4 linked regions of the Oreochromis niloticus genome follow. Each later gene encodes a partner of the first gene's protein in a complex. Links are inferred from orthologs where the notes say so. Each region holds a gene or a part of one and is shown in the gene's direction. Other genes may lie near its edges.

Region 1 (8,424 bases):
GTTGCTGTCTTGCCGTATTTATTTAAGAAAGAAAGAATCCATCAGCCCACTTACGTCTTTTAGTCCAGTTTCTGATTTTGAAGTTAAGTTGTCCTTCTTCACAAAATCTTGCCACTTTCACTGGTAGTAATACAGCAGTCCTTCAGGCTCTGGACATCCATAGCATTAGGCACTAGTGCACTGTTATAGTCCCAGTGGTCTGGTTTCAGGAAGGGAAGACTCCAACAACTTCACTGTGTGGGTAAGAACCCACCACTAGATCAAGCATGGTGCCTTTTCAAATGACTACTACTGGTGTGGGACTAGTGAACTGGGGAAAGCCTGGAATGGATTTCGGACTGGATTGTGTTTCATAATTTATTCAGATTTCAGTTTACTTAAGTTAAAACTAAAAAGACACAACAGGCTTTTTAAATACTTCAACATTTAAAGGCATAAGGTTCCGTAAGCTGGCGTCTTTACTGATACTTTCTCCACTATGACATATCCATTTCTATTTTTCTTTATCTGCACAAAATGTTAACTGTAGTATACTTGTCACTGTAACAGTCATCAATGTTTCTGGTAGTGTATAAGAAACAGGCTCTTCTAAATCAAGGTTACCTTTGGACAAATGTAAACTAATTATTAACTATTTACTATATATCAGTACTGCTCAGCTATCTCCAAAAATATCAAATTACTATTATTTAATTGAGATACAAGAGGAAGTTACACCAACAGCTAACTAAAACATTTAAACATCCTGATTAAACGGCACACTCTCTCTGTGATCAGTCGCTTTAGAAACGTTGCCCTCCTCCTGCTGTCTGTCACAGCCGTGGTTTCCCTCCCACTCCTCCCTCAGTGACAGTTCAAAGTCTAGCAGCAACAGCCATCAGCCTGAAATGCACCTTACAATTTAAACCAGCCCACCAATCACCAGCCTCTTAGGCAGTAACAGTGGCTAGTAACATTTGCACAACAAAAGAGAAATCTGATTCATCATCCCCCGCCTTCACTCCCTTTCCCTACTACTGTGACTCCTCCTCTTCTGCCTTTGTGTTCAAACTCAAAATCCCCTTCTACCCCAGTGACCCTCCTCCTCCTCCTCCTCCTCTGCACTAATCTCCTTGTGCCCCACTGGATTGACTGCTTCACCTCTCGCTACACTGTGACTCCCCCACCCCGCACCCCTCAGGACGCATCGCTGACTGGCCTCATTTTTGCAGGACCTCCTCCTCCTCCTCATCTGCCTTGCTCAGATGAAGCATGAGTAACAGCCACAGGCACAAGGTGTAATGTTGGCAAAGAAAAAGCAATAACAGGAGCATGATCCTCAACAGGAAATTAGCTTTGGTGCAGGTGTCAATGTATGCTGATTAGAATAACGTTTGCAGATAAATATCACTCATGAGATTTTTCAATCATGCCTGCAATAACAGCATGTAGCGTTCTGAAACAAACAGATTTGATCTCCCATTTCCCACTGTGCTTAGTGCTTAAATGTACTGGTCACATTACAACTAAAAGGGCCCTCTTTATAGGTACTTAAAAGCCCCCTCACACACACACACTCAATATATAAGGCTCCCATGGGGTTTGGGGGCCACCAATATAGAGTTTAGCCTTGGAGTCGCTTTGTATTTCACATTTGGTGTTTCTATAGCAACTGTGGACAAGTGGACCCCCCTTTATTTTGAACACCATTAAATACCCCACCCCCGTCTTGAGTTTAGTGGGGTTTCCCACACACACACACACATACAGACACACACACACCAATAGGCGAGGCTGTGTCTAGCTCTAGTTTAATTGGTAATGAAAGCTCAGGGATTGAAGAAGAGCGTTCAACAACCTTTTTAAGAATTTCAAGCTTTTTATGACTGAGAAACACAGTAAAACACGTTTCAATCGTTTGCAACAGGTGCACTAAGGATTTGATGTATAAATGTACTTCTTGGGAATTTTTTTTAAGTATTAGAGAAAATAAAGCAGATCAAAGACTTAAAGAAATCCTAAGTGCACAATAAAGGGAATGTAAAATATCACATTTTTGGCTTCCACTTCCACACTTCCAACAAACTTTTTTGTGATTCTGACTTGGAAATCATCGCTCACTTGGTGCATCAGGTTCTTTTAAAGATCCTCTTCAACAGTCTGAATACAGCGTTGTCCCTGATAGCTTTGGAAGTTCTCTCCCACAGGGTGTCCTCCTTCCACATACCCCGACCCTTCCTCTCAGCTTTCACCTCTGCCCTGTGCAGTCGTCTGTGGAGACGCCAGTAGAGGCGCGAGTCAGGGAGGACACCAGCTACGGGGGCAGTGCGAGCCAGTCCGAGCCTGAGTACCTCTTCGTTCATACAGTAGCTCCTCAATGACCCCTTCTGGAGAGATGCGAGAAGACAGGGAAATATCACTTTATAACTTGAAATTAATTACTCAATTTTCCACATAAGGTTTCTCTTACCCTGCTTTGAGACACCAAACAATGCAATATGTCGTCCTCTCGGCTGATAAGCTTCAACCACACCATTTGGGAAGGGGCCACGTTCTTCTCCAGCCATAGTTTCCCCTGTGGTGTCAGCTCCACTCCTGCAAGATGGACCAGCAGCAGGGATGTAGACACATCTGAAAAGAAGAAAGACAAAGCATTTACCTGACATTTTATGTATTCTGTTTAGAATATGAATTTTGAGCAAGGCCTGAAACTGTATTTTTTTAGTAGTGTAAGCATAATGTAACAGTTTAGTGGTGTCACTACTGAAATGTTGCATTTTACATTTAATAATAAAGAAAAAAAATTGTTGTTAGATGCAAAGACAAATTGAACCCTCTCTATACTAAATGACTGATCAGGTTTGAAATGTTGAGTCAGGTGGGGCAAACGTGTTATCTGTGTCCTCGGTGAAGTAGCTGATGCTGCACCTTATGATTTCATTGCTCAGTGACTACTATGACTTGATATAGCAGCTAACAGGCTTACCTGCCACTTTCAGTCATGGCAGTTTAATAAAATATATCCGACTTTGCAAAGTAAAAACGCCACAATTATATTATGGTGCAAAAAGATGAAATAATTACGCTGCTAAGCCATAGATTAGTGGCTCTGAATAGTATAGACCGTGTATTTCTAGTGTGATAGTGCACATGCTTTCATGATCTTCTCTCTCCTGTATTACCCTTATACTTTGAAAGTAATGGAGAGATAACAGGCAGATAAATTGGGACGTGCTCCACTTTAAATCCTTTCTCTGTGATGGAATGGACTTTCCCACGAAGGCTGACGTTCCTCTCAATAAAACGTGTGGGGATGTCACACGCAGCTTGAAATTTTGTGATCTACAGAGGTGGAACAGACAAGTGAATGACTCATTCTAGAAAAACACAGAAAAAATGACATCCTATGTAGTAGGATGTCGATTTGATAGAGCGAATTGAGATAGCACACAACATTTTGAACATTTGAGGGTCTTTCTCCCTTACCAGTTTGATACTCCTTGCTATGACAATTACACCAGCAATGGCCAGTCCAGTGCTTATATTCTGTGGGAGACAAGGGAAAAGTAAAGGGATGAGAGTGATGTTGCCAACCAGGCTAAAGTGCTGGTCACTGATAATGCACATGAGCACTATACTCTGCTGGGGACAACTAGAGAAAGGACATCTGGTCAGCGCCATGAAGGCTTTTGCATGAGACCACAGTCCTTCCTTTCAACATATAGGGTACCACCAAGTGAAAGATTAAAAGCAGATGCAGGCTGACAGTCAAGTAACCATGCTGTCTATGCATCCCAGCTTTCAAACAAAGGAGACTCCTACCCGCACGAGCGTTAAATTATCATCTGCGAACTGAGATAGTAAAGTCACGATGTTATGAGACACCGGGGTTTCTTCCTTTCTTTGTTGTCTGTCCCTCATTTCCTCCTCACTTTCTGTTTCTCTGGAAGTCTGCGGCATGTTGTTGACATTTTCTCGAAGCATCCGAAGCCCCGCCCACTCGGGGGAGGGAAGTTTCACCATTGAAGGCTCGTGCGGAGGCTCCGCCCTGTGGTCTGCTGTGGAAATGACAGGAAGGTGTGCACGTCCAATGCGTGTGAAAGCATCAAGTTCACAGCCCGTGTGACATAAAAAGCACCAAAATAACCAGCCCGGTGGATGGCGAAGCTGTTTACTTAGCGCTGCAATAACGTTGAGGAGGGGGTAGAGAAAAAGTTGTCCATGCAAAAATGCAGCTGAGGTTCACATTATTGAACACCGCTGGGATCAGTGACGTATCCATCTTTGTCTACACAGTTTGACCTAGATTTCTTCATTATTTAAAATCTTCCCTTGAATTTATTTGTTTATGTCTGTTTTTGTTGTTGTTGTTAGATTTAAAAAGTATAAAGATTTAACTCGTGATTAATGCCTTTTCTATCAGGTGCAATCCACCTGTTCTGAAATGCACACAAATTTAAACTGCAGTAACATATTTGCAGATTCATCTAGAACAAAGGGGTTTTATTTGATTGAACTGAGTTTGCTTCTTAAGGGTTGTTGCAATGCATGAAAAAGTTTGTTTATATTAATTTCAAAGTAAATTTCAAAAATGCACTTAAATAAAATCTCAGTACTGAATGTGTTTTTTTCTTTATTGTTCATTTTCCCCATATATACATATTAATTTGTCAACTATATGTATGTAGCCTGATCAGTGTTTGTGTTTCATGCAAATGTTGGTTCTTTATTTGCACCACTGTATTCCTGAAAGAATTTCAGTAATAATTATAAAAATAATAATAACTAGATGACTTCGTGTCATCTAGTTATTATTATTCAATGCACAAAGCAAACGCCCCCAGAAGACAATAGAATAAGTCAGTTGGTTTTGTTTTTTTTTACCTTTACATAACAATGCAAACAAACACACATGTTCCCACCACCAACAATAATTCACCAAATATTTCCCATAACTGTCCATGCAGCAGATGTTGCACAGTGAAACATGCACGTTAACAGGCATCACTGAGGAGTGACCACTGCATGACAGATGCACTGGAGCTTTCATCTTGTAAACTGTGAAGTCATGGAGCTACTTGAAGCTGGATCACGCCCCCATTACCACAAATTGGCCAATAGGAGCTAAGAGGCAGAGTTGTCCTCCTGGCCGCCATTAAAGAATTCAATACATGAACTGAAATAATGGAAATCTGCAGGACCTATGGAGCAGGCAGAGAAGAGTAGCTGATGAGTAGTCACGCTAGTTTGGGGTGTTTCATTCGTTTTAAGGGTAGTTTTAATATGACGGAGCACCATGGTGGTTTTGGTGAAAAGGAGGGCGGCGTAGCGGGTTGTTTTATTTAGCTGGCGAGCTAACGCTGGAGCTCTGGTATGTTAGCGAATGTGTTAGCAGGCTAGGCTAGCTCAGGGGGAGGAGGGGCGAGTTCCTCCGCTTTGAAATTGTTTCAGAGCAGCTAGCTGCCATTAGCATTAGCATACCAGCATCTAAGTTTTTCTTTTAAGTTTTTGAGCTCGTATTTTTATTGCGCATTTAACTTTTTCCGGTGGTGTATTTAACGCTAGTCTTTCTTCGATTTGTTATCGATGATTATTTAATGTTGAGGTGATGTAGCCGCAAGCTTGCGGCTAACCAGATCAGACAATACATTTCAAATAGGATTGATGAATCGTATAGCGAGAAGCTTACAGTTGACGCGTTCTGGCTGTCTGTCTAACGTTAGCTTAGCTGCCAGGCTAGTGGTGGTGGCTAGCGCCGGTTAGAAGTTGACTGTTTGGCTAGCGTCAGCTAGCTGAAGCTAGCAAGTTGGCAGCGCTTTAACGGGATAATTAGAGCTGAACATAGCTTCGCAAGCGAGTTACCCAGATCGGCTATTGCCCCCCGAAGGTGATTGAGAACATGGATTTTAACGTTACAACTACGCAGTGAAAGGATGAGTTCGTGCTTTGTACCAAACGGGGCCAGTTTGGAGGACTGCCACTCCAACCTCTTCTGCCTGGTAAGACTCTGTTCTGTGAGCTAGCGAGCGTTAGCGATCCTGAGAGGCCAGAAAGCCATTTTGGCTAATAAGGCAACAAGCCTTGTAACGTCAGTTGCAGATTGGAGTGAAGGCATCGGGCCTGCAACTAACAAATCGTGATCTGAGCCAACTTTCATAACAGAGCCAGCACATTCTGCATGACAACTATTTTGAAGGCTGGTTGATAAATATGGCACGATCTTGTGTTTACACTGCACTGAGTGCTAAAATATTCCGCTAGCAATAACGTTATTTACATGGTGGTAAAAAGAACAACTAAACGAGCAGTTTCTCTAAAACCAGCTGAACATATTGTTTTTCCTTGATTTAAACTGCACTGCATGCAAATTAATTGTGGCTGTCACCAACCATTTTGAGACAGACCAGTCTGGTTTTAAACTGACAGGTCTGTCATTGGTTGTTAACTTGCTGGTTGTAAATTATTTCCTTATAGTTGGGTGTTATGGCTTCAGGCGTGATCATCTTGGCAAGTGTAAAGAGTACAGGAAAACTTTCAACAGTGTAAACAAACCTCAATTTTCAGCTTTGCTTATTCAAAGTTTCCTTTTTCTGTTTTCTCAATATAATTGTAGGATCTATACCTTTACAATATAAAGCACCTAAGGCAACTGTTGTTGTGATTTTGCACTATATAAATAAAATAAAATTAATTGAATTGAAAGTAATTTTAGCAGCAAAGGCTGTCTTGTTACTGCAGTGTGTTAGGTCAAGATGCATGAAGAGTTGTGCAGTAAACAACTGGAAAATGGCTTTATGCTTTGCAGTTATTCTCTGTGTCTCTGTGTTCATTCTCACATTCTCACATCACTATTCTTCTTCTCTTTAAGGCTGATTTGACTGGAATAAAATGGCGGCGTTTTGTGTGGCAAGGACCCACCTCCTCGCCTATCCTTTTCCCTGTGACTGAGGAGGACCCAATCTTGTGCAGTTTCAGCCGATGCTTGGCGGCAGATGTGTTGAGTGTTTGGAGGAGGCACCACACCCCGGGTCGCAGAGAGCTCTGGCTTTTCTGGTGGGGTGATGACCCCAGTTTTGCAGAGCTTATCCACAATGAGCTCTTAAGTAAGTGCATTTAACCTCTCCACGAATACTGCAAGATTTGTGATTCTGACAGCATCAGAGTTTATTAGATGAAAATGTTTATTTCACTTCACTGAATTAAATTCCAATATTATTTGGTGATTTACCCCAAATTATATGTGGACTCTTGTGCTTTCACAGCACTTAGTTCAGTTTGTGCCATCTGAACAATTTTAAATTGAAGTGTGTAATTGTTGATATTAATAACATACTTCCTAGAGATGCTGTCCTGAAATGCTTACTGTATCAAATATTTTTCTTACACATTTTTGATGATGCAAAGTCTGATTAAAAATAATTTCTAAGGCCCTTGAATTTGTGGCTAACTGGTCTTTGAATGTCTTTAAAGCCTTGTGGAATTGATTGGCCCACGGCCACAGAGACACAGACTTGCATGGTAGGATTAGAACAAGTTGTTGTGCATCATAGTCACCTGACACACCTCTGGATTTCTGGAGATTCAATCCTGCTTTGTTGATATTCATATTCATATTCTTAGAGAAAAAGTACCCTTAGGGGCTAACACACAGGTATTTTGTCCCAGGTGGGGTGAAGTGTTACTTGCAGAAATTGCTCATTAAAGAGACAGAGTTGGCAACAATTTTTCAAATCTCTCTTGAGCTCCAAAGATAGTTGGAAATTTGAATTTTCCACTATGCAGGGAGTATAGCTCTTGATGATCAGAGAGGAATGGCATGAGTAAGCTTCACCTAATCTAATAATTTCTCTGTAATTTAACAAAATAGTTTATTTTCTGTTACATAAGTCAGTAACTGGGTTGAAGCCTTTTATTTTGGATCACGTCATTACATAACAGCAACTAAGACTTTTATTAATATTAAATGTTTTCCTGTATTTATACGCGGTAGAGCAGGTGTAACTGTGGTCTTCTTGTTTTTTGCACAGCCAAATTAAGGCTACGCATGTATGACAAAACCAAGTACATTTAACACTGGTTAGCTTTATCAGGAAAAAAAGCTTTGATTGTTAAAGTCATCATGTTTGCATCTGCCTTGTTTCAGGTGAGGAGGATGGTGAGTGGGAAAGTGGCCTATCCTATGAGTGTCGAACTCTCCTGTTCAAAGCCATTCACAACCTGCTGGAGCGCTGCCTCATGAACCGGGGCTTTGTTCGTATTGGCAAGTGGTTTGTCAAGCCATACCAAAAGGAGGAGAAGACCATTAACAAAAGGTATGTCCTGCTTCTTTCTAGAAAAATTGTAGGATATTCTGTGAATTGTTAAATTAAGACAAAGTTCACTATGAACCAAAGACGCAACAGAAGTTCCTTTCCACATTAAGCCTGAGCTTACGCATACGTCAGG
Region 2 (7,181 bases), on another chromosome or scaffold:
CTGACAGCACTAATAAAAAGAATAAATGAGGACCAAGATGACAAATCACTAGATACCAAGTCCACCACGAGGTTTCTTTTATTACGTCAGCCTTGATTTTTAGTTACAGTTCAAAGACATTTACAGGTTAGATCTGTGGCGGCCTTCTGTTAAATTCTTTTATGCAACCTTAGTTTTGATATTTGTAGAAGGAATAAACTAAAAATACACTTTGATAGCCAAGAGAATAACACAACTAAGACTTTGTGAGTAAATGAAAACGAAACGACTCTTCTGCTCTGTATGGGCACAGTGCAGATGGTTTAATGAGATTAAGTAAATCTTATATAATATGGAAAAGTAAAGACACCAGATCGAGTTTTCATTAATAGTAAAGAGAAACCTTTGCTTTCAGACTCAGACTGAAGTCCTGCTTTTTCTTGTCGGTTTTTCAGGAGTCTGGTTTGTCACGTTGGCTCGGTGATCAGATGACGCCGCTCCACTCAGTCCCTCCGTGGGCCATCGCCATCATCCTCTGCCTGCTCGTTGCCACCTTCACTGAATGTGCAAGCAACGTTGCAACAGCAACTCTCTTCCTGCCCATCCTGGCTTCCATGGTACCAAAAACACAGGCAACACAGACTGTATTTGTACATATGCATAGTGTGATGTAACAGTTCATTATCATCAGCATACAGTAGAAGTACAAGCTGCTGCACTTCCTACAGATGTTTCATATCATAAGGTGACAGAGAACAGAAGGAGCTTCACCCTTTGAGCCACTGACAGACGTTTATTATGATACATCTGAACAGGAAGTGTTGAAATGTAACAGGAAAAAAAGCCATTGAAGCCAGTTTATCGGTAAAGTTGATGACTCTGTTGTCCTTTTCCTGACCCAGTCCCAGTCCATCAGCTTGAACCCTCTGTACGTGATGATCCCCTGCACCCTCAGCGCCTCCTTCGCCTTCATGCTGCCGGTGGCCACCCCACCTAATGCCATTGTGTTTTCCTCCGGTTTCCTCAAAGTGTCCGACATGGTGAGTTCTTCATTTCTTCCAGTTGGAAAGAAATAATCATTCTGATTCATTCTGTCATCATAGCCTCCTCTTCCTCTGCCACTGTGCCCCCTACAGGCTAAAACAGGTGTGGTGATGAACATCATCGGCATCGGCTGCATCAGTCTGGCCATCAACAGCTGGGGTCGGGTCCTGTTTTCTCTGGACACTTTCCCCTCATGGGCCAACGTCACTGCACCCGTATAGGAGCAACATCCTCCCACATCTTTATTTATGCACATAAAAACTTTTTCAGGTTTGATCTTTCAGCTCCAGCATCTGGGCATTTCCCTGCAAGGAGTTTGTTTTTTATATTCGTGCTGCAGCACTTTCTGAGCCACCAGAAACATCATCTTGATTTTGTTGTTTGTGTCATTGTGCATGTGCACGTTCTAGTAAACTGTCTACAGAGTAGCATTAATGGCAATTAATGGACTCCCACATACAAGGAATATAGTCTACGTTACCTTTGGTGGATTGAAAAACTAGATCTACCTTTATATGTTTGTACATGATGGTGTTAAATAAATACACACAAACTGAGGTTACAGTTTAACATAGAGTGCAGGTTTTAGTATTTGTTCATAGTGTCTTTAAAGCAATCTTAGTGCCAAACAACAACAGCTTCATGCACAATTCCAAGTCCACAAGTTTTAAATGGATTCTTAAAATGAGCTGGACTGTGGACTCTAACTACAAACATTCAAATTCTTGTTGCCCCTTTAATTATAAAAAAAAGAACTATTGAATGACATTGATGAACATTTAACAGCTGAAAGAAACCTGAAATTAAAAAAAACATCACAGGCTTTTAATTTGAAACATCTTCAGAAAGCTGTACTGTCAGGAGTGTAATATTATTTTTTTAAAGGCATCAAAAAAGATGAAGAAGCTGAGAAGGATGAAGGATGAAAGCACATTGTGAGTAAACCATGGAAACACGGAGAAAGTTTAACAGAGGGTGAAAACAGGACCTAAACAAGATGATTATAAAACACTTAATAAAGTGTTGTCTGTAATAACAATGTCATATAAAATTGTTCTTTTTGTTTGAAGTAAAATAAGAAAAACTGCTGCTCCTGATATTTATCTGCTCATCATAAATGTGTGAAACTGCTTGTTAGCAGGTGTGCCACAGGGCTCTGTTTCAGTTTATGTTAATGAGATTGTTTCTTCTGCAGAGGATACTGTATTATAATTTTCTTCCTGATTGCTGTGAAGTTTTTTTCTTTGTGATTATTTCGCTGTTCTGTGTTTTTTATTTGGAGGACTGACTCTAGAAGAGCTGCAGCAAAACTTTACTGACTGGGAAAATTCCCAATGAAGAAACCACTATTTTCCCTGTGAACTGGAATTATTTTAGCGTAATTAGTAAATATGCTTCACATTTTATATGGTTTATATTTAAACATAATAACACAGTTTTTATGCGAGCTGATGAGTGTGTTCTGTACATATGTGATGTTTTGTACCATCTTGTTAACAGTTTTATTTCATATTAATAAAGATCGATCTTTAAATGCACTTTTTGTAAATTCTGCTGGGTTTTTTTAAACGAACATCTTCCAAAGTGAACTAAAGTTTGAACAGAAACAAACAGAAGCTTGGATTTTATGTCAAAAACATCTAAGTTTTATATTGAAGTGATATCAGCTGAAGTTCAGCTGATGCCAGGCTGCACTTTCATGCCGTTTGTACCAAAAAATGGTGCAGTGCATCGATGTGGCTGAAGAGCAGGACACTGACATTGAGGATAAGACTAAAAAGAAGAATTTTAAATTAAAACAACACACATCCAGGTGAAACTCTGCCCCCCAGTGGTCAAACTTTTAGCTGCAACTTTTATCTGGGGGAGGAAAAATGTGATTTGGACAAAATGATTTACTTAGATAATTAAATGATTCTTTTGCCACTTCAAATGTCCACTAAACATTAAATTAGCAGTGTCCAATATTAGTGGGCATGCTTTTCACTCTGCACTTGCTTTGAAAGCAGTGACAGGGTCTAGTCTAGGACGTCACTCTTGTTGTCACTCTTGTTGTCACTCTTGTTGTCACTCTTATTGGTTTTGGCAGAACCTCTCAGCTCAGCTATGTTGGCTGCAGAGATTGAGTGACTGCCAGGTGCAGCTCTCTACATAGATGCTTTATCAGGTTCATGTCCAGTCTCTGGCTGGGCCAGTCCAAGCCTTCCTGTGTTCATGATGATGTGCTTTGGGGTATTGTCCTACTGAATGATCCTGCTCTGCGTTTGTTTTTCGCTCTATGTTAAAATACAACATCCCCACATCCCTGCAGTCGGTGCCTGTATTCTTCCACTCATATCACTGTGTGTTGTGTCACAATATTTGAACTTTGGTTTCATCAGACTGGAAGATTTTGGTGCTGACGGTCTGATAAGCATTCGGGTAACTTTCTGCAAACTTCCAGCAGACTTTTATATATCTTTGAGCACCAAACCTGGAGATTCTGCAGGGGTGAAAAGCATTCGGGTAACTTTCTGCAAACTTCCAGCAGACTTTTATATATCTTTGAGCACCAAACCTGGAGATTCTGCAGGGGTGAAAATTAGACTCTGCGTGTGACGGTTTACACAAGGACAACATCCAACATATTTTAGAGGGTAAACAGGAGAGAACCTTTACACTGACAAAGACATATACAGCCAATATGTGTTCAAACTGAAGAAAGCTGTGCTTTGTTTTTTATACTAATACAAAATCTAAAAAGAAAGGTTCTTAGTTTTGTGTATAAGTAGCAAAATGTTTTGAAGGATTGTATAGAACAGAGGTCACCTGTGACCTGAAATAGTACATGATCACAGTCACAGTATTAGCACATTAGTTGGTTTTCTCATCATCTGACTGCACCCTGATCAGTATAGTAAGTACATCTTCAGTGCTTTTCTGTGCATGAAAAAATTGTTACTATTATTATTATTATTATTATTATTATTATTATTATTATTATTATTATTAGTTATCCTGTGAATATTGCGCTCACATAAATTATTATTATTATTACATAAGTGTAATCAAGTTATTTGTGGTAGTTTGAAGGAGCTTTTTTCTTGTCGTCTGTTGCCTCCCTCTGGCGGCCAAACAACGAACAGCAGGCGGCGTAAAGCGACGTAGATGTCGCGAAGACGGCGGAAGTTTTACGTCATTTAGTCTGCACACGTTTGATAGCAGCGATTAAACCTGAAAAGAGCAAAACCCGGCTTTCTTTTCTTATTTTTGCCTTTTAAACATTTTTAGACAGTTTATCTGACATTTAAGTCCTTCATCTACTTACTGGTGCCTTCAGGCTGTAGCCATGGAAACAGGTTTGTAGCAGATTGTTTGATCAATGCTAATCTGCTAGGCTAATATTTCCTGCAAGACAAAACACCAATAAATCCGTAAGTTTTACTTTGTTGGCTTTAAAAGCCTGTCTGTGAGCAGCTGATGGTATTTAGATGTGCTCTATCTTGTTTTTCTACTTTGACAACGAGGCTTTTCCCAAACCGACAAAGCGGCGTTAAATTGTCACTTTTTTAATGGAGTCTGGCGGCGCTGGGATTACTGGTTTTATTTAAGGGAGTTAAAGGGAGCAAAGGTTTGGTTGTTTTTAAATGTGGTTCAATGTGTTGTTAAATACGTTGGTATACTCATGATTAGCTTTAAGTCAGGCTGCAAAGTGTCGGTCTTTTCTGTCCTGTTCACTACGTCGCAAGAAATTATTCAGATTAAGAACAAACTTGATTTATCAGCTTAAGTGAGTGTGTTTGAAGATAACCGGGAATGGACTCTGAAGACTGTACTCTGAGACTCGCGCTTTAATTCGGCTCTCAATAATTCACCGTTACATTAAATTTAATTTCCAAACTGCCTGTTTAAAGTTTTCAGGGTGGATTAAAACAATGTGTCTTTAAATTGCTATTTTTTCTAATGGAGTCTGGTATAAAAACATGCTTTCTCATGGCTGTGTTATGTTGGCGTGTGTGTAGTGTGAATTGAATCCTTTGGGACATTATTACTGTAATTAAACACGTGTGCTCCTGATGATCTCAAGATAATCGGTGTTGTTGGGTTTGAATGTCGTGTTACTGATTAACTCGTGTGCTTCCCGGTGCAGAGGAGCAGGCCAGGAACCGTTTCCAGTTGGAGCTTGAGTTCGTCCAGTGTTTGGCGAATCCCAACTACCTGAACTGTGAGTGATGCTGTGATCAGAAACTCTCGCAGCTTCACGTTTGCCAGAGTTTGACGGAGATTTTGTGTGTTTGTGTTTCCAGTTCTGGCTCAGAGAGGCATCCTGAGGGACAGATCCTTCATCAACTACCTGAAGTACCTGCTGTACTGGAAGGAGCCCGAGTACGCCAAGTTCCTCAAGTACGGCGACATGTTTGATTCTTGGTTTAGACAATTTTCTGTGTGAGAGTAAAGTTGTGATGTTTGTCAACCTTCTGTCAGCTGACCTCTGCTCTGTGACTCCGCCCACTGCAGGTACCCCCACTGCCTGCACATGCTGGAGCTGCTGCAGTACGAGCACTTCAGGAAGGAGCTGGTGAACGCTCAGTGCGCCAAGTTCATTGACGAACAGCAGCTGCTGCACTGGCAGCACTACTCACGCAAACGCATGCGGCTGCAGCAGGCACTCGCCGAGCAGACGCAAGCGCAGCCGCAGACGGCCCCGCCGCACGGCAACGCCGCCGCAAAGTGACGACGGAGTTGGAGCGCTGCTGGGATGCCAAGGTTATTTCTCCATTCACATGAACATTAAAGACTGCAGGGGAGGAACTGAGGTGGGAGCTGATCAGCTGATGGGAAGCATCAGCTTTGACCTTCCTGTTGCAATTTTCAAGTTAAAATTTCTCCTGGATTTATGGATGTGGCTATTTCCTGGAACTTGTCAGTCCAATGGTCTCAGCAGGAAGAGACCGAAACAGATAAGACAGCAGAGGTTATAATTTAAAGTGCTGCTGCTCAGTCAGGTCCTACCAGCTGCAGAGTGAGCTCCTGCCTGATGGGGCATGTTTTTACCTGCGGCGATCACCTGAGTGTCCAGTTGAGGGAGAGGGGTGTGGTTGGACCTTTTTTTCATCCTTTGTTCTAATAAAATGTTTGAAATGTGAAGAGTTTGTTTCTGTTTGCGTGTTGATGAAACCAATAAAGTTATGCAGGCTTCCTTTGTGTTAGTCAGCTCAATAACAACAATGACCTCCTACATCCTTTTCCTAACCTCTTTTCCTTGACCTGAAATATCCTGATGTGAAGGAAAGGTGGGAGGAGACTCTTAGAGGAGGTGGTCTGATGCAGGTCACATGAAGAAGATCTCGCTTCATCACAAAGAGAATTCTATCACGGCCAGTAAAATAAAATAAATCGGATTTTCTTTGCTTTTCTTTTTTCTGTCAGAGCAAAGGTTCACTCCATCATCACTTCTACAGCAGAGCATTAAACAGTGATTCAGTGAGGGTGGCTCATGATGTACATTTTAAAAGGAAACGCAATCCTTCTATTTTTAGATCCAATTTAAAAATTGAACTATTAAAAACAGATCCTGTGGAAAAGAGCAGAGCAACAAGACAAAGCAAAGCATCCCCAGGCTGCAGAGCCTTGAGCACAAGCGACAGACAACGACACAACAGACAAAGAGAGAGAGCCCTCCTGGACCCTCTGTTTATTGGGTGTGTTGTTACCTGCTGCTCTCAGCACACCTGTAAAAGTTTAAGAGCTCTGTTTATGACAGATGAAGGACCGAGGATTAAACGTGCAGCGAGCAGTGCAAACACCATTCACAGAGGTCAGCTGACTGATAAAGCAAACAAACAAATTTTATTATGAAATTCACTTAAAAAGAAAGCCGGACATATAGTTTTAGTCATTTTTGTTAAATACTGACACGCCAAGCAGCCGTAATAGAAAAGCTAAAACCTAAACTAATATCAAACCCAGTTTCCAAATACACATCTGAGTTAAGTAAATCCACTCAGGAAACTAAATGAAGCTAAAATGTATTGAAAATAAAATAAAGTGTTATTTTTTCCGTTTTCTCACGCAAAACGTCATTAACTGGTCACTCTTGGCCTCCCTCCTCTCACATGTGCCTGGATAAAGGATTTCCTCACAAACCGGCCCCAGACTGTAAGACTCCGCCCTCATCT
Region 3 (7,402 bases), on another chromosome or scaffold:
TATTCCACAGCTAGCAGCAGATGCACCTCACCCTTTGGAGCAGATCCTCTCTGGATATGGTTTCTATTCCCGCCGGTGACAATATTGGTGGGAATAGAAACCACTTTTACTGACATGAATAGTGAAAGTGAGAAGTTGTGTATCCGCAGGAGCAACCAAAACAGAACAAGAAACGTGTGACATTTGGAAGTTGACACAAACTCTACAAACAAATTTTCTTGTTTACAGATTTATTTGAACTCAAGCCCTTCGTTTACTCATTTACACCTTAAAATGTTGCAGGCACTGCGGGCTCGTGCATGCTGCCAAAATGAACAAAATGTTACAGCAGTACCAAGAAACAAGAAAAAGAACAAAGGGAGGGGGGGTGGCTCGCTGCTTGTTGCCCGAATCATCAGACAGGGATGCAGGTCTGGAGCAGCGATGTTCTAAATGCACCAGGAGACTCAACATCTGAAGCGGTCACGTGGTAACAGGCTGTAGACTCTGTACCCTACAGCGGCAGCAGTAAGGGGCTGGGGGTTTGGTGGGCCGTCCTGGGCTTTAACTTTTTCGTAAGCTCACGTCGGCACTAGTGAGCAGTGGCGACAGCGACGTGCTGTCTGATTGGTCGTCTCTCTTCAGAACCAGAAAAGCTTCCCGACTGATTCCCAGCAGCTCTCGGAGTCCATTGTTCTCCAGCTGAAATACACGGAGACAATGTAAATGCTGTGTTTAATGCAAACAAAAACAGAATGATTTGCAAATCCCATAAACCCAAATTTTATTGAGCACAGAGATTTCTCCAAATTCTCAGAATCCTTTGAATTTATCAAGCTGAAGATAATTAGATATTCAAAGTCTTCAGAATTATATGTTGACAAATGTTATTCTGAAATTGTTCCACAAGTTGCAGATGCAATTTTTTGCAGATTGATGAACCTCAGCACATCTTTACTTCTGAGAAACTCTGCCTCTTTAAAATGCCTTTTTATACCCAATCATGTTGAGTATTAATCTTTATGCCAGTTAACCGAAAATATTCCTTTTTGTTTACCCCATCCCAACTTTTTTTTTTTTATTTTTTTTTTTTTATTGCTAGTATTAAGTTCCAAATGAGCTACTGTTTTTCTTAAAATGCTACTTATTCACTACTGTGAATAAAATATGGGTTTATGAGGTTTTAATCACTTACAGTACATGTTACAGAGTGGAAATTTGATTTTTCTTTTGTGTTTCCAAGCATGTTAATATGAAGGGCCAAAAGTATCACAGTAGTAATCAGAGTTTCTGCCTGGGCATTTCAAGGATCGGGGGACTATTTTAAATCAAAAAATATAAAGCAAACAGTTACAGTAGGACGACTCTTTGGAAACAGTTAAGAGTTCAAAAGCTCACTGTTGACATCTGGTGGTTAACATGTGGAAACACTACTAATGGTTCTTACTGTCAAAAGCTAAAGCCACCTAGCAATGCTAGTTCGCTAAATAGTAACATAAATCTAACTTTTATGGGATTTATGGATAATTTCAAGTAGTAGAGGTAAAGGTCAAAAAGCCTACAAATATATCTGTTTAACCTAATGAAAATAGAGAGGTAGGATGTCTAAATGACAAAGTAGGTCAAAGGAAAAAAATAAAGCTTGGAGGAAATGTAAATAAAAAGGCTAATTTTTAATTTAAATGCCCTGTTAAGATCTGCTTTGACATCTCAACTCAACATGAAGCTTTAGTTCATTTTTAAACTCCAAACTCACACTGAATATACTGTTAAAATAAATAAATAAATAAATAACGGAGCACATGAACATTTTTAACTATGACTTGTGATCCAGTTTTGACTCCACCCCTCAGAGCCTTGATCATTTAGGTTTCCACTGATGACTTTTATTGGCCTTTGTGTCAAGTGTCAATTTCTTTGACACTTGTGATCCTCGGTGTCACATGAACAGACATTTGTTTGGGTTGATTTGTAACTTCTGTGGATTTTTTGTACCCTCCCCTGGTCTGAAAGCTTTGGAACAATTGGAAGTAATGCTGCTCGGCTTTTACCTCTAGCTGTTTAATCCTCTCCTCATCTTCACATATTCGCTCCTCATCCACCTCTATGGCTTTCCTCATCACGGAGGCCATTTCGTTGATCTTGTCTATGTGTGCTTGCATTTCCTGCAAAGATTTTTTTTAATGCACAAGAAAAGTTAAAAAAAAAAGCAAAATAATACATTAAAAGTACTTGCACCAGATACTGACCGTAGTGTGCTGCTCCTTCAGCTGGGTAACGATGGCGGGGTCGTCCCTCTTACTGGCCATGAGAAGTCTGAACACCTGCTCCCTGTATTTGGTCATGATGAGCTCTAAGGCAGACTGATGTTCTTCCAATGATGTACGCAGCTCTACATGAAGTATGAACAAGTTTGATTTACGGGAAGGATCAAATTCCGGCTTTATATTCCACAAATCAAAGCAAAACTAAAAATGCACCGGCCATCCGATCTCTCAACAGAAGAGTTGACATTAAAGGAAACTGCCTACCTTTGTTTTCCTGCTGGAGCTCCCTAATTTGACGGTTTTCCTGCTGGATTCCCAGGACTAGACTGGAACGAGGCCGATGCCGTGCAACCTCGTTCAGGGCGTCTATCTCCTCCTGGTACTATCAATAAAAAGAACAAGCAGAAAAACCTTCAGTCTAAAATATAAAATGATAGATCATCATAACAATTAAAAAATACTTTTTAAAAAGTGTTATTCCAGCTTTTGAAATAAACTTCATGGATTCTACATCAAATGCTTTAGGCCTCACATTTCCCCAAGTTCATGTGACACCCTACCTGTTTCATGGCCTCTACTCGCTTGTTGAGATGTGTCGTCTGTTCGATTAACATCTCAGCAGCGTTGTCATGGTTGCGAAGCCTTTCCACTAATGATTTGGCATCTGCCAGGACCTTCTCTAATGTACAGTTCATGCCTGAGGAAATACAAGTGATTCTTAAGAGGAGCTAGGACAAGGTTGCTTGCAAACATAGTAGTCATCCACCTCGTCAATCCTTCTTTTCTTCCCTTAAGTATTACATTTGGTTAAAGCAATTATCCATTAGCAAGCTATTCATTATAGTGATGACTGACACTATTGAATTATATCTTATTAAAATAGCTTCTTTATTTAAAGGTAGGCTGACTTTGTATCTGTACATACAGCAGCTGCAGTCAAGTGAAAGTTTTCTGGGAACTCTGAACAGTCCTAAAAAAACCTATGTATATACCATGATGCAGTGGCTTTTTGCAAGCTATTGCTGCTGTTAAGCAGCAATATGTTACAGCAGCCTTTTTCTATAAAAGTTGTCTTTTTCTATATGATAATCACTTTAATATGTTTTAAACACGACTTAAATCAGAAATGCTTGATCTAGATCTATTTTGCTTGATCAAACAACAACACCACGATATTGGTATTATATAATTTTAAAAATATCTGAAAACCAAGAAGTAACCTCAACTGAAGCGTCAGCTCTGACTTCAAAATACCAGCTAAAAATCATTCATTGACATTGTGTCTAGGCTTTCTCCTCCTCGACCTACTCGTCATTACAGCTGCTGTGTCAGCTAATTCGCTTATTACGAGCAAGCCTTGCGTGTTTTAGGCGTCAGATTCACTTTACATAATTACTTCTGAAGCACATTCGTCTCAGCTATATAAAACGTGAAGGGAATTAGTTTCTCAGTTTTCCAAATTCAGTAAGCTGACAACGTAAAATATATTTTAACAACACATACATACATACATACATACACACACAAGCTGGGCTCACTTATTAGCCAACTTACTAATCAGAGTTAAGCTTTCATGCAAATCCACTTACATGCTCGCATTATAAACGGGTGCGTATATCAAATCGGTGTTGCCATGCAATTTTAGATAATGAATTAAAGAAACAAAAATGATCATACCTGGGGAAGCCACAGTACAAGACATTGGAATTGCGTTAACTCCGCTGCTACTTCCTGTTGATGTTTAGTAGCTAATATTAGCTAAAGGCTAACATTAGTCCTCATAAAGCAGCCACAAACAGGGTCTAATAAAGATCCGTTCCTCGTTAAAATAGAAGATAACCTCCGCTGATATGAAAATATCGATTTTTAACGCGTTTCAAGTTTGCTGTGAACCCAGTTGTGAGACGGTAAAAGTAAGTAACCCAACCTTTGCCAACCAAGGTTCCCAAAATACCGAATATACCGCGAGATGTTTTATGTTCTCGCGACAGTTACGTCAGAAACAGACAATATGGCGGACCGGCTAACACAACTTCAAGACGCAGTCAATTCGGTAAGGCAAATGTTGAATATCTTAAACGTTCTTTGGTAGAAGGAGGTGTAAAAAAATATATAAAATGCATCGTCATGTCGATTAGAGTTGGTAGCTAACGCAAACCAGTGGCTCGAGTAGTTTAGTAACATGTGAACAACACGGGGTAGCTAACCATTATAGCAAGTATAGTTAAAGGCCTGTGTTACGAAACGACCAAACCAGCTCAGTTATTTTAAACAACGAAGTGTTACAGTGTTAAAACGTCGTTTTGGCTAGCTTCCTTGAACAAAATAATACAAAATAAATATATTTGGAAAAGAAAAATACTAAACTAACGTGGGAAAGTAACCCCAGAGGGTCAACATTTGATATTCAGAAGTATTTAACATGCAAAAGTAATTTCTCTATATTTGGCTTGCAAGGGACCAAATTTTCTTATTTATTTCAGTGGTCTTGAACAGAAGTTGAACTTAAAGGAATTACGAATGGAGAAAAGTAGGTCAGATTTTGATCCTTCATGTTGTACCAGCTTGCTAGAATATTGCAAAGTCTGTTTTTGCCTTACATACTGTATTTCCACATATTTTTTCCCATTTCAATAAAGTGCTGCACCTATTTGTCATTTTCCAAAACAAACAAACAAACATAATAATAATAATTATTTAAGGGTGGTTCTAGACCAGGGATGTCATTCTCCTTTTGCTTGGTGGCCTACATACAACACACTATGCACTTTGGGCCAATCAGTGAAACTACCCTTTCTGTCACTTACAGTCAGAACTTTAACTACACATTTAATCCCTGAGACATTGTAATATAGTTTTTCTACACAATAAAGAAAAGTTTGTCAGTGTGACTTGTTGGGCTTAAATTGTAGGAAATAAATGTGTAAAATTGGAGATGCTTGTCCATGCCTTCATCTCCTCTCGTTTAGATTACTGTAACGCACTCTTTTCTTGTCTGTCTAAGGCTTCCCTAAATCGCCTCCAAGTGGTCCAAAATGCCGCAGCAAGGCTTTTATCCCACAGTCATAAATTCTCCCATATCACCCCTGTGTTAAAATCCTTGCACTGGCTTCCGGTTGAGTATAGATATCAGTTTAAAATCCTCACTTTTACATTCATGTGCCTACAAGTGAGGCCCCCACTTATATCACTAAGCTTCTCCAAACCGGATCCTTAGATCCACTGATAGTGGTCTTCTAACCATTCCATGGACCCGTTTGAAAACGAAGGGGGATTGCGCTTTTCAAGCCTTGGCTCTAATATTATGGAACAGTTTACCTCACCCGCTACGCACCATCAACTCTGTAGCTACTTTTAACAGCTCAAAACACATCTGTTTAGACAGGCATTTAGGTAATATTCATGTGTAGCAAACTGTTTTACTGGATATGCTACTATACCCTATTTATAGTGTTTTATTGTATCGATTGATATGCTTTTATTCCCATGTGAAGCACTTTGAAAAAACTTCCTGTTTTAAAAAGCGCTATATAAATACATTTTACTTACTTACTAAAATAACAGAAAAAGTTCTTTTGGCTTGTTGTGTAGACTGTCCTGTAATAATATATTTTGTAATGTGACCCCATTGTAAAAAGCACAGATTTCTATAGTAGATAGTTTAAAAAATGAACTTTCTCTCATTTCATTATTTGGGGGAGGTTTTATCTTCAGGAGAAGCTGTAAAACTTATGAAAATACAGTTAAAAGTCCAAAACTTAAGCATGCCTTCACATTTTTACAGTGGGTAAAATTGGATTCTGGTCTCCGGGCCTTATGGTTGACACTGGTAAACTAAATATCTATATTTTATAATAATAATAATTTTAAAAAAAAAAACATACTTTGGTAAAACTGATGAAAGAAATGTCTTTAAATTTCTTTTGTCTGAAGTTTATGTTATCAGCAGCAGCAGCTAGTGTCTTGTTCAAATAACAGCGTAACCTATTACTGGTTTTGTTTTGTGTGTCCAGCTTGCTGATCAGTTTTGTAATGCTATCGGCGTTCTGCAACAATGTGCACCTCCTGCATCCTTCAGTAACATCCAGACAGCTATCAACAAGGATCAACCAGCAAACCCAACAGAAGGTTTGTGTGTTTTTACTATGACATTATTTTTAACCATCGTTTTTATGTCACTTTATATCAGCTGATAAATATAAGGTGCCCCACCGGGAGACTCTGTTGTCCTGCTGGGAGACTTCAATGCTCACGTGGGTAACAACAGCGAGACCTGGAGGGGCGTGATTGGGAGGAACGGCCTCCCTGATCTGAATCCGAGCGGTGTTTTGTTATTGGACTTCTGTGCAAATCACAGTTTGGCCATAACGAACACCTTGTTCGAACATAAGAGTGTCCATAAGTGCACGTGGCACCAGGATGCTCTAGGCCGCAGGTCGATGATCGATTTTGTAATCGTATCACCAGACCTGCGACCATATGTTCTGGACACTCGGGTAAAGAGAGGGGCTGAGCTGTCAACTGATCACCACCTGGTGGTGAGTTGGATCAGGTGGCGGGGGAGGACGCTGGACAGACCCGGTGCACCTAAACGCGTAGTGAGGGTGTGCTGGGAACGTCTAGCAGAGGCCCCAGTCCGCGAGATCTTCAACGCACACCTCCGGCAGAGCTTCAACAGCATTCCGAGGGAGACTGGGGACATTGAGTCCGAATGGACCATGTTCAGCGTCTCCATCGCCGAAGCTGCTGCATTGAGCTGCGGCCGCAAGGTAGTTGGTGCCTGCCGTGGTGGTAATCCCCGAACCAAATGGTGGACACCAGAGGTGAAGGGAGCCACCAAGCTGAAGAAGGAGTCCTATCGGGCTTGGTTAGCCTGTGGGACTCCGGAGGCAGCCGACAGGTATCGACAGGCCAAGCGGAATGCGGCTCGGGCAGTGGCTGAAGCAAAAACTCGGGTGTGGGAGGAGTTCGGAGAGGCCATGGAAAAAGACTTTCGGACTGCCTCGAAGAGATTCTGGCAAACCGTCAGGCGTCTCAGGAGGGGAAAGCGGTGCTCTACCTGCACTGTGTATAGTGCTGGCGGAGCGCTGCTGGCGTCGACTGAGAAAATTGTCAGGCGGTGGAAGGAATACTTTGAGGACCTCCTTAATCCCATT
Region 4 (8,376 bases), on another chromosome or scaffold:
GTTTGGTGACCACCCCTCAGCTTCACTACATGGTCTGCTGTCAAAACACACAGGGTAAATATGGAGAGGCCACAGTGGAAGGATACTACACTAAATTCTGCCAAGCTTTCATTCAGCTCACCAAGAATGTAAGAAGCAGAAGTGTGTTGTTTTGCTCTTGCATTCAGTCGCTTTATGTTTGTTTGTGTCGATGTGTTTTACGATACATTCATTCATCCAAGAACTACTCCTTTCTTTCTCTCCTCCATGTTTTTCTTACCATTAGACGTCCAACCGTACGGATGACCAGAAGCACCTCTGCCTGGATGGCGCTAATGGCATCGGGGCTCTGAAGGTACGTGAGATGGAGAGTCACCTGAAGAAAGAGCTACAGATTTCTCTTAATAATGATGGCAGCAAAGGAAGGCTGAACCACCAGTGTGGAGCCGACTATGTGAAGGTGCAGCAAAAACCCCCAACAGGTGCGCATAGGGCCATTTAATTTACTTGAATGTACTGTAATATTTTTAATATGCGAGACCTGTCTTGCATTCTCACATGAAGGCATTAAGATTAACCCAGGAGAGCGATGCTGTTCCTTTGATGGCGATGCCGACCGAATAGTTTATTACTACACGGACTCTGAAGGAACATTTCACCTGCTGGATGGAGACAAGATGGCTACCCTCATCAGCACTTTCCTGAAAGAGCTGCTCACACAGGTATACTCTAAAAAAACCAAACAAACGAACATGAAAATGACATACAGGCACCCACTTACCAAGAATGGTTGTTCTTTGTATTTTTTCTCCCTTGGAATGCACAGGCTGGACTAGACTTGAAGATAGCAGTGGTGCAAACTGCGTACGCTAATGGAAGTTCAACACACTATCTGGAGAACACAATGAAGGTGACAAAAAATTCCACAGAGAGTTCAGGTGTTTTATTTTGTATTTATATGGAGAGGACAGTTCTCACAGATTTATTTGCCACTTAGGTCTTAGTGAGGTGTACAAAGACTGGAGTGAAGCATCTTCACCATGTAGCCCAGGAGTTTGATGTCGGTGTGTACTTTGAGGCCAATGGCCACGGAACAGTGAGTACACACATATGCACACATCTTTAAATGCACTGAAAATCACCTGTAAGGCTTACCTGTCTCGATTTTTCCAAAAATCAGAAGTAATGTGTCGTCCTGTGTTTGTTTGTGTTTGGATCAGGTGTTGTTCAGCAAGGCAGCTGAAGAGAAAATCCAGCAGCTGGCCGAGGACACAAACGTCAACGACAAGAGGAAGAAAGCAGCTCTCCTGCTGCGAAACACGATCAACGTCATCAACCAGGCACGCTCACACTGACATCCGTGTTGAACTGAGCTCATGCAGACACCGGAGCTCTGTTGTTAACGTCGATATTTTCTTTTAAAGACTGTAGGAGATGCCATTTCTGACATGCTGCTGATTGAAGCCATACTAGCCATCAAAGGGATGACTATCCAGCAGTGGGACACCATCTATACCGACCTGCCAAACAGGCAACTTAAAGTCAAGGTGCTCATATTGTATAGTTATGTATTATATCCAGGATATAAAGTGTGAGTGATAGAAAGAAATACAGCACTTTACATTTAATTTACAGCAGTGCCGACCCAAACTAAGGAGGCTTTTATTTTGTTAGATAAACATTTGTGTACTGTAACCCTGCACATAGTAGAGTGTCTGTGTCTACTTCAAGCCAGTTAGAGATAGTGGCTCCTGAGGGTGATCTTTTTTCTTTTTCTTTTTTTCTGTAGGTGGCGGACCGCAGGGTGATAGACACAACAGATGCAGAGAGGCGGGCGGTGACCCCAGCAGGCCTGCAGGAGGCCATCGACAATTTAGTAAAGAAGTACAGACAGGCTCGCTCCTTCGTGAGGCCCTCCGGCACCGAGGATGTGGTGAGAGTATACGCAGAGGCAGACACGCAGGTGAGAAATCTATTTTCCAAGCTTTCTCTGTTATTGATTCTCATGGCAGTGTTACTGAGGTTAAAAAATATCTGGAAGGGAATTGTTTTGTGAATAATACTCTGGCTCTCTGTGTTGTTTCAGGAGAGTGCTGACGCCCTGGCACACGAAGTCAGCCTTGCTGTGTATCGCCTTGCTGGAGGAGTTGGGGATGAACCCAAACCATTGCATTAGAAGCACAATCACACAAACACACCATATTGATCAATCAGAATTACAGAATTGCTGATCATTATTTTATTTTTATTTTTATTTTGTTGAAGTCAGGTGATACCAAATGATTTTATATTGTCTTTATTTTCCTTGTATTACTGTCACTCTGATGATGGGGTACACATTAGGGGAATTAATAAAGGTTGGGGGAGTTGTGTGTGTGTATACATAAAATTCAAACAGTCAAACAACTGGTTTTAAAGAGGGTTGTCATTTCACTTGGTCCCAGATATTTGTGAGCAGTTATTTTAAATAATTCCCTTCATTTTCATTAAATCATGTAAGTTTACATAACGACTGTTGAATCGGCTTTGCTGCTATTATTTGAATTAAATAATGGATAAAGAGGAGAGTGGGGGTTTTTTTAATTACAGTGAAGTAACACTGATAGAATTCTATGATTGAAATGAAAACCACAACTATGTTTGCAACATTCTGGATAATAAAACATGTATTTATAAGTTACACTTGTAACTTATAAATACATGCAGGTTATCACACATTTGATTTCCATGTGTGACAACTGTAAGTGTCCAGAGTCAGGACAGACTGAGGGACCCACTGCTGCAGATGATCTGTGAGACTGCACCCCTGATGATCCACCAGGACAAACTCAGCAGTGTCTGAAGAAGAGTCGGCACCAGCTGACAGACTGTTCCCTCTGTGTGAAGGACTAACAGAAAAGTTTAAAATAACTAATTATCTGTCCTGAATCAGTCTTATTAGGTAATGTTAAAATAATTTTATCATTCAAGTGTTTTCAAAGTGGGAGTAAGTACTCAGGACCTTCAAGTTAAACACTATGAAAGGCACTAACAAGTTTACTATTCAGAAACCTAAAGTATGTATCAGTAGCAGAATGTACCTAAAAATAAATGTCAGTTTTTTTCAGTTCTATGAAGCTTTGAGTATTTTGGATTAGTATTACTGCTGTGTTAGTTGCATCATATTGCTGTAATTGTTTATATACTTTATATATTTTGAGGTAAGTTGATCTATAGTGTTACATCATATTCTATGAGGATGCTATGTGTTTGTATACTTTCTGCCCAGTTTGACCCATTTACCAGAAGTCGGCCTGTTTAAGGCTCTGATATCTATTCTGTATCACTTAAAGCAGTTATGACATGGTATGATTTTCTCATCCTATGAAGGCACATTTAATATATCAGTGTACTCTTCATTTTATCAGAAACAGTTCTCACAGCTCGTACATTTTCTTTTCACACATATATGTAAACATTCAGACAAATTTAGTAATGCCAACATATTAAAAGAACAATATTTGTCTCTTATATATAATACTTGTACATATACATATAAATATTTATATATATATACTATTATATATACTATAAATATAAATAACTACAAATTGAATCTTTACTGAAGCTCAGTATTTGAAACAGAGTTTAAACTCACTGCTGTAATAACTAATAATGATTAATATAATAATAAATTTAATATTGGCCATATTATAGTAACATTACCAAAGTGAGATGACTTTAGTCTGATGAACAACATTAGCTAATTGTTATTTAATAGCTAATCTTAAAATTACTGTTCCGTACAGAAATGAAGCCCAACAATCATGTTTTTACAGTCCCGTTGTCTCAGCCTCAGATACTTATCAAATCAAACAAAGCTCATATAAAAACAAAGAGATGAACAAAAAAAAGTCTCCCTCATTTCTGTCAAACAATGCTGCATGAAGCGTTTTTATCATGGTTGTATCATGGTTGCTAGGCAACCTGAGCAGCGTCCCATTTCACAAGCCTTGCACTTCCGGCCTTCTTGGTCTTCGGAGGACCCGGCCCACGTGGACCGCGAAGGTCCGGTCCTCCGAAGGATGCAGCCCCTAAATTGGGACACAGCCTGTGTTCTCTGTGTCTTCCTTGTCATCCTTGTCTCTGCCTTTGTGTGTTTCCTGTTTTACTTTGAAAGTCTGTATCCAGTGTCAATGTACTGTGTTTTGCTTCCTCCCTGCCTCGTCATGTCTTATTAGGTTCAGCTGTGTCTCCCTCCTGTTGCGTATTTCCCTCTTTACTTGTGTGTATTTATGGTGTGTGTTTCCTTCTGTTCCTTGTCGGTCTGTTTTTGTGTGTCATTCCTTCATGTTGCCTTCGCGTTTCTCCTGCCTCCTGGTTTCCTGTTCCTTCCCTCTGCTCACCATGCTCAGGTTATTTTGTTATTCTTAGTTCTGTGACAATTTTATGTGAAATTATATCGCACTAAGAAAATAAGATGTGTTATGAGACATTTTCACTAAGTGAGACAAATTATTATGATGTGATCTACTAACAATGCTCTATGTATACAAAGATTCAGACTGTTTACTTCGGTGAAACCCACATTCAGCGCGAATTAGTGGTTTTAAGAGCACATATAGTAATGCCTGAATGGTTCAAACACACTAACAGTTATATTTGTTGCAAATTCAGCAGAGAGAAGTCACTCACTGTGCACTCAGAGCTGAGAAAATGAAGCTTATGAGTTCATTTCTGTTTAGTTTCATGAAAACGGTGTTAAGAAAGAGAGCAACTGCAAATTTTATTTTCAGTCATTTTATTTTTCTATTTGTTATGTGCATCATTGTACTTTTTTGCATCTGTATTTTCTTTAACTTTTCTGTAATAATTCTGATCTTAAAGTGGTTTAAATGAGTGTCTCTTTGTTGAGGGCAGCCTTTTGTCTCTCCAAAAGAGTCCTTCAAAGCTACTCTAGAGTCTAAGAACAAAACACAAAGCAGTTAATTTGGGATGAAGAAAAATAGACTACTATCAAATGGACTTGATATTATTTCTGAGCATTTAAGACAATCTTTCATGCCTTCTTCTCCTAGCAGTTGGGAAATATGAATTTTGTTAAAAATCTTTTTTTTTTTTCTTTTTTTTTTTTTGTGGCTTGTTGGTTTAGGGCCATGATTCTCACGTTGGGTGTGAGAGGTACTGGGTTCAAATCCCAGATGAGCCTGTGCGGTGTTTGGGGCTTTGCTGAACTGTTCATGCAAGTATGCATATATTGAAGTAAACTAACAGTGACACTAATAGAAACTAAATGAAAGCAATTCAAACAAAAACTAAGCTGAAATAAACGGTCACATTAGAAAGTAAGTTAAATTTAAAAAAGAAGAGAATGCTAAACTACAGTAACTCTGCAGTTACCCCACCCACTGTAGTAGAAGCTGACTTGTGTGAGTGGGGGCAAAGGAGGTGGCTGACTAAAGATGAGCAGCCTTAGGCTTAGTGTCGTGGAGGGCGAACGGATCCAATCCTCAGCATTACAAGGTAAGCAGATATCTAGGTGAAGTGTGAGTCCGACCATTGCTGGTTCTCCATGTTTTCCAGAGGAAGGGTCAACTCGAAGACTGAACTTCAGGAAACACAAGGAGGACTGCCAGGGAAACTGTGGTTACTTTTGCTGGATTAAATTACACGAAGGTTGGCTGAGTTACCGCTGTAGAGGAAAAATGTTCAGGCAGAGAACTTCTGCCACAGGTGCTCCTTAAATACCTGGTCTTGATGAAGGGAAATGACAAACCGTAGCAAGCCTGTGACCATCAGTCCTAACAAAAACGATACAAGATATCAAGTAATCTTGAGCCACAAACAACATTCCTATCGCAAGGAAGAAGCTGCAAAGTTTTTGGCACTTTTATAAATCCTTTGTAAACTAGATAAATAGTGTAATTGGCATTTAAGTCTTTTTAAGAGTAGTCTGGCCAAGACGATAGCAGAAATTACAACGCATATAACAATAGGTTTATAAAGATATTTAAAGTGCAGCAGCTTTTAGGCGCATTGGGGATGGTCATTTTTCACCAGATCATCTGCTCATCTATGGCGGTAAATCACATTTGTTACCTTGTTTTCTCCTGTGATTTCCCTGTGTAACTCTGTTATCATCTCCCTAGTAACAGCACCTTGGTTCATTCCTCTGTCTCCGTACTCACCTGATTTGTCTCCATTAGGTTATGTGTTCCATACACTGCTACCTCCACGTTCATACTTCATTCTCTCTACTCCTGCAAAAGAGAGAACCGGAACTCACTTGCCTGCTCTCCAGTTCTCTGCCATTGATTACTCAGCTCTGGAATATTCCTCTGTTGCCTGCAAACGGCCGACTCCCTCCTCTCCGTTGCTGCGAATCAAGTAAGGCAAACTCCGCTATCATATCACACAGTCCCCGCCTTAGGCTCCATTTCAGAAAATCCTGCACAGTGAAACTCCCCCTATGTTTCGTTGTTTCCTGCCAAACGATAAACCATTGGACCCTCTGGGGTCCAGTGTATAATTGGCCGGTTTTGGATTACTTTTGATTTTACCTCCGTGTGTGTGTTGCGTTTATCTGGCCTTGTCTGGTATCATTCTTTTTGGCACAACCTCACATGTCTGAATTTAAAGTGATTATTTTTCATTTTGACATAATGCATTAACACAATTAATCTGAGTTTTTATTTATTTATTTATTTATTTTTTAACAGTCAAAAACCACAAGCGGGTTTAACGACTCCTTTTCATAACTTTAGTTTATTTTAATTTAAACTTTAAAAACCTACAAACTGAAATGCAACGATTTACCTAAAAATGCAGCCAATGTCTCAGCTGTTTTTCATCACCATTTAAAACTGTTTACAGCATAATCAGGTGCTCTACATCAAAGGCACACAAATTACACAGGCCTGCAAAATAATGTTTGGTAAAGTCTGTGTGTGTTGTGTGGTTGTTTTTTTTTTTTTTTTTTTTTTAGGGTGCTCAATCCATCATGTACAGTTTATTTGTTTTTGTGTTTTTGTTTTTTTTTTTTGCACGAGGAGTTTACAAAAAGCACAACAGCGATGAAAGAAATATTTTATTACAATTACCTAGGCATAATTTTCCTAAGATTCCTTGCCTTTCATTATGAACAAAATAAACCTGGACATGAAACCGGACATGATCGTCTGAGCATTTTCTATTTGTATTTCTCTTCAGTCTTGCGTTTAGAAATATTAAATTCATGTAAGAAATCATCCTACTTTGACTCAAGTAGGATGCCAGATTTCAGCTTAAAAGGGGAAATTGTACAGTTAATTGCACTAAACATGACTTTTGCAAGACAACCTGACACGATGGAATTTTTAAAAATATTTTTTCCGGTTTCAGTGAGTAAAAGTCTATAAGAAACAGTCAAAATCGTGTGTGTGTGTGTGTGTGTGTGTGTGTGTGTGTGTGTGTGTGTGTGTGTTTTTCGGGGTTGCTTCACCATGTGCACTGCCTCCTCTTCAGAAGCAACAGATTTCAAACAGTCATCCACATAAAAGTTTCTTTTGACTGGATCAACCACTTCAGCTGGAAATTGCTGTGCATTCTCATCTGCAGTTCTCTGTAGAGCATAATTTGCACAGCTTGGTGAAGATGCTGTTCCAAACAAATGTACTTTCATCCTGTATTCCTGTGCAGGCCTTGTAGTGTCACCATATTGCCACCACAGGAAACGGAGCAACAGACTCTGGTCTAAATCTGATCAGAACTCCAACCAGTGAGTTTCTGAGATCAGGTCCCTGTAGAAGCTGACTGTTCAGTGATGCTCCTTTTTATAAGTTGTTCCAGTCAAATAAAACTCTCCTTGCCCTTTGGGATGATGCACTCCATGATGAGGAATGTACCACACCTTTTCATCACTTTTCTGCAACTCATCTGCAGGCACAAATTCAGCATATCCTTGTTTAAGCATTTTGTTTACACATGCAGTATATTCATCCTTACAGCAAGCATCCTTTTCAAATCTCAGTCTGAGACTCTGGGGATGCTACTTCGCCACACAGAGGTTATTTGGTAAGCTGGGACTTTCTCTTCTGAAAGGCAAATCAATGTGATAATAATTTCCAATAAGTTTTATTGAGCTACTAACAATATCCATGAAACACAGATCCCCCTCTTGATATTTCAGTCTGCTTCTCTGATCTTTCACTAAGTCATGGTTGTACTGTTTAATCAGCATTTCTTCTAGACTCTCAACAGAAATCCTATTGGCTGTTACAGCAGTGCAATTTTTATTTCCGCTGTTACTTCCAGTGTGCAGGGGACCATTTATGACCCAGCCAACTTTGGTTTTTACAGCATAAGGTCCACCTTCCACACTGTTTATCACCTTCCATGGCTCTAAAACGTTGGAAGCATCAGTGCCTATCAGTAGCTAGA

What was found.
Region 2: mediator of RNA polymerase II transcription subunit 13-like (region 1) and med31 share a complex: the UniProt entries of both Homo sapiens proteins name them as parts of the mediator complex. The link is inferred for Oreochromis niloticus from reciprocal best matches to the Homo sapiens genes MED13 and MED31.
Region 3: mediator of RNA polymerase II transcription subunit 13-like (region 1) and med21 share a complex: the UniProt entries of both Homo sapiens proteins name them as parts of the mediator complex. The link is inferred for Oreochromis niloticus from reciprocal best matches to the Homo sapiens genes MED13 and MED21.
Region 4: the proteins of mediator of RNA polymerase II transcription subunit 13-like (region 1) and ccnc are in contact, whole or in part, in a cryo-EM structure (PDB 8TQC), measured with the Homo sapiens proteins. The link is inferred for Oreochromis niloticus from reciprocal best matches to the Homo sapiens genes MED13 and CCNC. Residues at the interface, in NP_005112.2 of Homo sapiens: Tyr1342, Ser1630, His1631, Val1732, Lys1733, Thr1734, Thr1736, Phe1738, Gly1739, Pro1740, Gly1741, Ala1743, Arg1897, Met1898, Ile1901, Asp1905; in NP_005181.2 of Homo sapiens: Gln7, Gln13, Trp14, Leu16, Gln19, Lys23, Gln26, Lys27, Arg75, Tyr76, Glu144, Leu145, Asp147, Cys148, Ser221.

What each region holds. Positions count from the first base shown.
Region 1 is NC_031979.2:25,760,808-25,769,231, forward strand, and holds the start of mediator of RNA polymerase II transcription subunit 13-like, read left to right. Parts: upstream 1-5,108; 5' UTR 5,109-5,912; coding exon 5,913-5,978; intron 5,979-6,847; coding exon 6,848-7,082; intron 7,083-8,122; coding exon 8,123-8,291; intron 8,292-8,424. Other genes in the region: c18h3orf33 (protein C3orf33 homolog), read right to left, coding at 2,109-2,366, 2,450-2,610, 3,162-3,321, 3,466-3,525, 3,802-4,002. UniProt on the Homo sapiens protein: Component of the Mediator complex, a coactivator involved in the regulated transcription of nearly all RNA polymerase II-dependent genes.
Region 2 is NC_031975.2:31,352,220-31,359,400, reverse strand, and holds med31 (mediator of RNA polymerase II transcription subunit 31), read left to right. Parts: upstream 1-4,170; 5' UTR 4,171-4,351; coding exon 4,352-4,361; intron 4,362-5,152; coding exon 5,153-5,227; intron 5,228-5,309; coding exon 5,310-5,406; intron 5,407-5,520; coding exon 5,521-5,737; 3' UTR 5,738-6,202; downstream 6,203-7,181. Other genes in the region: slc13a5a (solute carrier family 13 member 5a), read left to right, coding at 435-596, 882-1,019, 1,116-1,244. UniProt on the Homo sapiens protein: Component of the Mediator complex, a coactivator involved in the regulated transcription of nearly all RNA polymerase II-dependent genes.
Region 3 is NC_031981.2:34,716,448-34,723,849, forward strand, and holds the start of med21 (mediator of RNA polymerase II transcription subunit 21), read left to right. Parts: upstream 1-4,159; 5' UTR 4,160-4,215; coding exon 4,216-4,299; intron 4,300-6,259; coding exon 6,260-6,374; intron 6,375-7,402. Other genes in the region: fgfr1op2 (FGFR1 oncogene partner 2 homolog), read right to left, coding at 544-681, 2,031-2,144, 2,229-2,371, 2,511-2,628, 2,807-2,943, 3,924-3,948. UniProt on the Homo sapiens protein: Component of the Mediator complex, a coactivator involved in the regulated transcription of nearly all RNA polymerase II-dependent genes.
Region 4 is NC_031980.2:6,952,025-6,960,400, forward strand, and holds the start of ccnc (cyclin-C), read left to right. Parts: upstream 1-5,196; 5' UTR 5,197-5,420; coding exon 5,421-5,481; intron 5,482-6,164; coding exon 6,165-6,345; intron 6,346-8,376. Other genes in the region: pgm3 (phosphoacetylglucosamine mutase), read left to right, coding at 1-128, 266-461, 544-701, 806-889, 977-1,075, 1,200-1,319, 1,404-1,526, 1,769-1,942 and 1 more. UniProt on the Homo sapiens protein: Component of the Mediator complex, a coactivator involved in regulated gene transcription of nearly all RNA polymerase II-dependent genes.